2 linked regions of the Drosophila melanogaster genome follow. The protein of the gene in region 1 interacts with the protein of each later gene in a pairwise test. Each region holds a gene or a part of one and is shown on either strand. Other genes may lie near its edges. The genes, in order: GV1 and dUTPase.

Region 1 (4,893 bases):
CGGGAAAATATTTAAGCATTGGAAAATAGCATAGCTATATATTATGATGACATGATTGGATGGGTTTTCGTAACCCGCTGAGATATTGCATTCTATTAGGTGCTCCTCATTTCTCTCGGTGCACTTTACCATATCACACCGAAGGCAACTTGTCAGACCAAAGTGATTTTAACAGACATTTCTGTTGATTTACTATTCGAACTTAAACACACAGACACACACATAATTGGAAAAACTTGTGTATGCTAATCGATAGGCGAACTGATTGATATGGATTTTTAATTGCATTTACAATTTACAATTTAATTGACCTAAACTATTCTGCCTCTGAAAAGCAGGGCCTAAATTTCGCAGTCGTCCAGAATCACTTGGCATAATTTTATGTCTTAATGAGGAAACCGATCCGCCATTAAGCGCAACACTGTGAACCCATAAAACGAAGTTAAATGAAATTAAATAAATGCGAACACAGCAGTATTTTGCATTGACATTAGGCGTTCGATAATTATACGAAGTGTTGTCTGGGGCTCATTAACTCGGCCAGCTAATAAAATCAAAATCGGCTGACATCCAATCAAATTGATGGGGACAACCACTTCGTCGTGGGGGCTTTGAAGTGTTTAATGAAAGAAATTAAAATACGCCAGCCTTCAGTTCATGCGTAAAGAGCTCAGCCGCCCCAGACTATATATCATGCTATATCCGATTTCAATGTCGCTCACGTAATCGCTTTCTGTAGTGCCACACTCAATTGTGGTTCAGTGTGTGTGTTATCACCAGGTGACTCGTCGAAGGAGGTCACGGATGCCCCACACACATAGGCCTACAACTCTAGGTACAGTCACATTCAAAATCGAGAGGAATGTAATGCACTTTAAAATCATGCCTGTCATCGTCTTTAATGTAACCAATAAAAATGCTAATTGACGCTTATGCAAATAATTTTGTTTTCATAAAATTGACAAAAATAAATATATATATATTGTGTTTTTAATTATAATTTAAAATTCACAATTCGTAAAAACATCAAGTCCCTCTGATGAACGAAATTAGCATTCCTCAATTCATTAAACATTTCTAAGTTAAACAAATCATTAATAATTTATTGATGCGTTATTACGAACAGAAAAATATTTGTTCAGATGAATTACAGTCATTAAAATGGAAAACGGAAGCAAAATAAATTAGATGGTTTGTTTATATGCCCATATGTCGGAATATTTAATTATGCTGAAGTTCAGATCAGAAATATAATGACGTTTTAAATGTTATTTTAAGTCCACACTAATTCAGATAATTCTCAAATGTAATCTTAGCTTGTAAAAAAATATTTCCCAATAAGCTAGCCAATGATTGCTAATTCAATGCTCTAGTGACTTAAGCAAATGTAGACCCACTAATGATTAAGGTTTAAAAGTAGAAGTTCCATTTAGTCGATTTGGTTTATATACTCGTATTTGTGTTTCCCCAGCTTGGCAACATGTTTCAAGAATTTGATGCCGGAAACGGCCCTAGCAACATGTTGCCTGGGCCACATATGAAAATGAAAACTGGCTGGCAAAAAGCAAAAAGGCAAAAAGCGCACAAAAACACGCCTGAAAATAGAAAACAAAGCGAAAAGCAGCCGAGTTGGAGTTCGGGCTCGGCTTTCCGAGTTCGGGCCTGGCTCGAAGCCGCCTGGCTGATTCGCAAACCAGCTGATGACCAGCGGAGGCCGACAAATCGGGAGACGGAGACTTTGTGCTGATGCTACCACATTCGCTGCTTTCAGTGTGGCCCGTGTCTTCAATGAGTTTTGTCATGCTTTAGCGCAGAAACAGCGGTTCGATATCGTGATACCCACAGCATATAAACAGTATAATATACTATATCCTTCAGATACCAGATAGCAGCGGCAAAGTATGTGCAGTGTTAACTGATGACGATGAATGCTAAATATAAACGTGTGTTGTGAAGTTCTGACCAAGTGCAAGAAAGCAAGAAACGTAAAAATAAAAATAAAAAATAAACACCAACATAAAAGGATCGTTAAGATCAGCGACAGAAACAAAAGACTCAGGCAACGAACTTGCGTGCTGCAATGCAGACAATTTATAGCTTGCAGGCAGCGCAGCTGCTGTCGCAGGCGTGTTAAATTTATGCAAATAAATAAATCAATTCCACAAAGATAAATAAAATTGAAGGCGTTCCGCCGTTTTGCACGCACCAAACACTTTAAGGCATTTGTCAAAATAGCCGAAAAGGCGAAAAAAAAATATGCACAAGCAATCTAGAGAAAAATCCGTTTCCCGAGCTGCCATAAATTAAACCTCGCCCATGACTTTTCTCTCCAGCAAAACTAAATAAACTAAATAAAATAGAGTAGCATAAAAGGGAGGGAAAAAGTTAAAAAACGCTTATGGCCCCTTTAGATGCAGCAACTTGGAAATGAGTTTTGAACAGGCCGCAAATTATTATTGTTATTATCACGGGCAGCCAACTGACATTTAGTTTTGCTTTATCTCCGTATAGTTTTTGCGTTTAATGTGCCGGAAATGTTTTCTCAGACTCCGCGGCGGATAATTGTGGGTACTTGAGCTTGGGTGTTGCCAATGATTATAAAACCTTGTTAATTTGCGCAAATTGGTTTTGCATTTTTCAAGACCAGGCGAAGTATCTTCTCCGACTAGTTAGTCGGCTCTATAAAAGTTAAACGCTTTAATTTATGCACATATCACGGTTCCTTAAATTGGCCGCAGAGCAAATACCTAAGGTCGCCTGATCGGTGGGCTCATTACAGCTCGGAACGGGTTTGGGCCTGCCAGAGATTCTACTGCTGAGCTGCTGACCTCCAGTGCCTCCAGTTTTGACGCCTAAAATCTTGGAGTCCGTCTAAACATAGTCACGTTCCGACTGTTAGCCGTGACATGGGCCGGCGTTTTTTGGCCGGACAGTGCATACTGGCACGCCCTCCTCCTCGGATATTTACGATCGCAAATAGCTGGGACTTGGACGGCACTTAAAATGCGTGGCATGCGGCTCACATTCGGCCAAACTTTGCGACACTGTGTGGCCAAAAAGACCGAGAGCTGCCACCACGCCAAAGGCAATTGAAAATTAACCGTACCTAAGATTTTCAAGAAAATGGTAAATGGTCATTTGAATTGGTTCCAACGCTTACGCATGCGCCACAAATCGTGCGCTACTCCCCCTCGTACTGAAACACATACCCTCTTATCAGGGCGGCCATGTGTGGAACGAATCTCGATCGCGATCGCGATCTCGTCTCGATCTCCGCCAGAAAGCCAAATGCTGCCACGGACACACTGGCAATTGAGACGCCAAAAGTCAGCGTCATCGCAGACACAATCACCGCCAAAAGTAACCGTTCACTAGGGTCCAACTAAGTAAGGCGATTGCGTAATGAGCGCGGCCCATTCCATTTGATATTTACCTTAAATCTGATTTGATATTGTCCCACACGGCGGCATTCGATATGCCAGACTCGTCTACAATTACTATATACCCGGGTGGACATAGGCAACCAGTCGGCTGTCGTTAATGGAGGTGACTTCTGATTTCTGATTTCTCACTGAGGCTGACCAGTTGATCGCTTCAAATTAATAACAAATCTGCCTGTGGAGGACGGCCGAGCAACTTTCCGCGCTCAAAAGGTTATGCAAAAACTTCAAGTGCAACTCCTCCAGTGACTGTAGTTAAAATCGAACAAATTGTTTTGCATATTATACATCGAATGCATCCAACTTATTTTGGTGTAGTGAAAAACCCCAAGATCTACCCTTCAGTAATTGAACTAATATTTTTGCAGCTAAGCGACTTAGAAGTTTCGAGTTTCATTTGACCAAACACAATCGACACAAAATGGTAAGTACACTCATGCATTGTTAACTTTAAGCCAATTTCCGCTCCGTAATCGAGTTTAAACACGTGTAGCTCGTCGTGTTGTTTTGGGGGTAATCAGTGCAGGTATTTATGTATTTCTCGACTTCTGTGTTTGCTCTCACATAATTTTTGAAATAATTAAGCCGCATGCACGATCGTCCAACGAAATTGACACACACTCCCAGCAACTGCATAAATTTCGCAGCAACGCATGAGCAATCCACTCCCAGGCATTCGTGTCATTGGACCTTGTCGTATGAGCTGGGAAATATAAATATATTTAATTCAAATATATAAATGCTCGGCTTATTTTTAAGAAGGTATAAGTATTCAACACGAACATTCCTGAAAGATGAATTATTTCTGGGTGTTGTGAACATGGAATCCTTCTTCAAGCCAGCTAATCATATATTTCTGAGAACATAGAACTTATTACTTATTATGAAATCATAATTCCCATGAGCTCGGCTGCAGTGCCAAGGGCAAAGCACATAAAACCACTCTTTCTGCACACAGAAATTGCAGTTGACAAAGGCATTGACCCACAATGGGCCATGTGAGTGCGGTTGGATGTCGATTCGAGTGATTCTCATTCATTTCGTACGCATTGTTCTGTGGCAAGTTTGAATTTGCGATTCATTTTTGTGCATTTGTTAAGCTGCGCGCTGATGTCTGACCGGAAATGAAAAGAGTGAAATCAGCGTCGTTAATTGTCAAAATACGTCGGGCAAAAACAATATTTGTGCAACATCATTTAAGTAATTAACGTGTTCGATTATTTTTATAATTCTATTTTTGGCCATTTGCCACAGACAAAGAGCCCGCAGCCGAGCATAATTATATTAATATGCAATTTGTTAATTTAAATGACTTCCTTAAGCGATCTTGCTGACTGCTGTTGCGCGATCTTGGATAAATGAATGAAATATTATAGTTAAATATTTACGTTTTTCTTTCGACACTCGATCGGGCTATCGGCTATCAGTCAGTTAGCATTTTGCATTGTGATTC
Region 2 (3,562 bases), on another chromosome or scaffold:
TGGTGAGTATGAATTTGGACATTGAACTGCTCCTGGAATACTATTCGAGGTACGTATTGAAGGGTTTTCGCAGAGATAAAATTGTTTAAAGGCTAAACTTTTAAAAACTTTCAGAATGATTTCAATGAACGAACGAGTGTGGGCCAACGAGGGTAATGAGTGGCATTTAATACAATCCGTCATACGAGTGGTCTCGCTTCTGGCAGACAACGCACAATCTATTTGGTACCGGTCAAAGTAAGTGCAAAAGTAAAATGCTAGCCGATACGATTTACTTACATTCACATTTAACTTGCAGACGACGAATTGTTGGCAAGGCTCAAGACATAGTGGCCGGCTGCCTGAATATTTGCTACCAAAAGCCCGACACTAATCGTCTTCAACATTCACTCAAGGAACTTCAGAGTCAGCTGCAGCGGTTGTTGATTTAAAGCCGTCGGCCTGCGTTATTTTAATTAAATTTTTGAAAGTGCTGGACTAGACGTTAAGTTTGACTGAGATATATATTGTATTTGTATTAAACATGTTAAATAAATTGATTTCCCCACAGATCGTTGTTCGGATTCCGAGATGGCATGTAACTCATGAGGTGTCCATCATTTTTAGATGAGCTTCCGTCAGAATGCACTTCGTCATGTGACAGGAGCAAGGCACTGGATGCTCCTCTGTGTTGGGGTCTAGCAAATCCACCTCCAGATTGTATTTACGCATATCGGCAGCACTGCGCTTCATTGTGATTTGAAATGCAATGGGTGACTTCTCCTCCAGATTTTCGCAGGATTCCTCGGGCAGGACGACTACACACTGCTTCCAATGCGTTGGCGGGGATAGCGGCGATGTGCTTAGAACAAAATCTTCGCCAGGAAACTGTACATCGAACCAAATGCAGAAGCCCTGGTGATTGCCCGCCTTCTGGGCTGTTATTACCTCCTTGAACTGAATGCTGTCCAAATCGCTGGCTTCCACATCCAGCAGATTCATCCAGTGAAAGACGACGCCCTCGTGCAGAAGATCTTGCGGATTCAGCTGTGTAATCTCCGGTCGGGATGACTTTTGGGTTCTGAGTTTTCTGGCAAACGTGTCCATTTTGATGCCGTCCACGTTGTGCCAATCATCGAAGAGCGATGGTACCGAGCAGGGTGCCACGAAAATTGTGCACTCGCTGGGGAACAGGAGTCCACCCTCCTTGAGGAACTTGTCCCGGGCCAGGAGAACCGAGTCCAACATGCCCTCGTGCAGCAGGTAGAAGCCCATCCACTCGGACACAATGATGTCCACCTTTTCCGCCTCGGCAGGCAGTACGAATTCCTCAACACGCGACTGGATCACCTTCACCACGTTCGTCAGGCCGTTATCCTCAATCAAATCCAGCGCAACTTTGGTGGCCACATTGGATGCTTCTACGGCGTAGACCAAACGGGCTCCTGCTTTCGCACAAAAGGCGGACAGAATCCCTGTGCCGGCACCAACATCCATTACGATCTTGTCCTTGAACAGATCCTTATTCCCCAATATCGCATTGTAGTAGGCTTCTTGCCGAGGACGATCCTTCAGCATGAGCTCGTGGATCTGTAGTTTGGTCACTATGAGTACAGTTTCACAAGAAGATCTATAATCTTATTTACCTCCAAGTTTTCATACTCATCGAAATAAGTGTTCGCCATGATTTAAAGTTGCAGTTATCAACACATTAACATTAACGCATCAAGTGAATTTTTCAAAACAACGTGCTAAATAGAGGTGTGTTAATCAACTACAATAGTATCGATATATCGATAGGGTTGCTTATCAGGGTTGGTTGTGATTGGTCGTTTTACTTAATAAAATCAATTTGATTTATTTATTAATGCCTAAATTATTGTTTTATTTATTATTTGTTTAATTAAACTCAAGGCATAGTTGTATATATGTTTTTTAGAAATGCAAAGCTGACTTAAGATTTTTTGGTAGATTTTCGGCGATTTGTACTTTTGGTATCTTGCAACACTGGAAGTCCGCCAATTTTCCGACGCTGTGTTAAACCGCGTTATTTTCAGACCAGAATTCTGCAAGTAAGCTGAAAAAAGTCTCTGTACTTTCGAAGCATTCCTGTAATAACTCAATTTGCTCCAAATGCCATCAACCGATTTCGCCGACATTCCAGCTGCCAAGAAGATGAAGATCGACACGTGCGTCCTGCGATTCGCCAAACTCACCGAGAATGCTTTGGAGCCGGTGAGGGGATCCGCCAAAGCGGCGGGAGTTGACCTGCGCAGCGCCTACGACGTTGTGGTGCCGGCACGCGGAAAGGCCATTGTCAAGACCGATCTGCAAGTGCAGGTTCCGGAGGGCTCCTACGGACGCGTAGCCCCACGATCCGGGCTGGCGGTGAAGAACTTCATTGATGTGGGCGCCGGTGTGGTGGACGAGGATTATCGCGGCAATCTCGGCGTCGTCCTGTTCAATCACTCAGATGTTGATTTCGAGGTGAAGCATGGCGACCGCATCGCCCAGTTCATTTGCGAGCGTATCTTCTATCCGCAACTGGTGATGGTGGACAAACTGGAGGACACCGAGCGCGGCGAGGCAGGATTCGGTTCCACCGGAGTCAAGGATCTGCCGGCAGCCAAGGCGCAGAACGGCAACGGAGAAAAGGCTGCCGAACCGGAGGGAGCTGCTCCGGCTCCTGTTGCTACGTAAACGAGGAACTATTGCCGCATTCTTAATCCCTTCATGGTCACTATCAAAGAGTTTCATTCTGTATCCTTAAGTGAAATATGTTAATGTATTGGTATATTTTTATCTATTAAAACCGCAAATCTACGAAGAAATGTTTCCCATAGTGTCATTAGATTGACTGGTGGATGGTGGATCACTAGATTTCCTGGATATGCATTGCATACTTTTGGCATGTTATTTCTAAAAGGCTTTTATTTTTCTTTATTTAAAAAATTTGTGTTAGGTTTTTCAGGCAGCTTAAACAATTATTCCTCACTTATGAGGTAACTGGTAAATAACTTATATCCTTTGAATACTTTTTTATGCACGCAATTTCTGAGCTAAATATTTATATCGATTTTCATCAAGCCAACCAATTTTAACTAAATGTCTTTACTAAGGACCTTTTACTAAAATGTATCAGGAGTAATGTTATCGAAACATACATAAATTATTTACAATTCATTTCCATATTTAGGCAATGAATGGGATGTGTCTTCATTTTGGCTTTTTCAAAAAATTGCACTGACCATCCATCCAGAATTATGGATCTAGTTTAAGGTTAATATACATACATATGTACAGCTGTAACTTGTATTGCATATTTAAGTAGGCATGAAGGGCCGCGAAAGGTTAACGCTTGGTGCTAACTATATTCTAGTAACTAGAAGTACTTACTTCCAACGGAGTATGTATACAAACCGCTTTAGATCTTCATAAAAAAGGAGTTTGCTGAACAGAAGTCGAGCAATTATGTTTCTGCAAGAGGAAGCCGACTTGGCTTTATGGGTTTTCAAGTGGCTAGGGATACTTGAACCAACCGGACAGGCGCAGTGAGTTATGACCGAGTAATGAGAGCCAAGAA

What was found.
Region 2: the proteins of GV1 (region 1) and dUTPase interact in a two-hybrid assay, tested with the Drosophila melanogaster proteins (one large-scale study listed by BioGRID).

Annotation. Positions count from the first base shown.
Region 1 is NT_037436.4:1,808,821-1,813,713, forward strand, and holds the start of GV1 (GV1), read left to right. Parts: upstream 1-1,767; 5' UTR 1,768-1,899; intron 1,900-3,808; 5' UTR 3,809-3,861; coding exon 3,862-3,864; intron 3,865-4,893.
Region 2 is NT_033779.5:11,009,329-11,012,890, forward strand, and holds dUTPase (deoxyuridine triphosphatase), read left to right. Parts: upstream 1-1,983; 5' UTR 1,984-2,112; coding exon 2,113-2,679; 3' UTR 2,680-2,807; downstream 2,808-3,562. Other genes in the region: Nup154 (nucleoporin 154kD), read left to right, coding at 1-49, 115-237, 299-431; Art8 (arginine methyltransferase 8), read right to left, coding at 583-1,569, 1,626-1,664.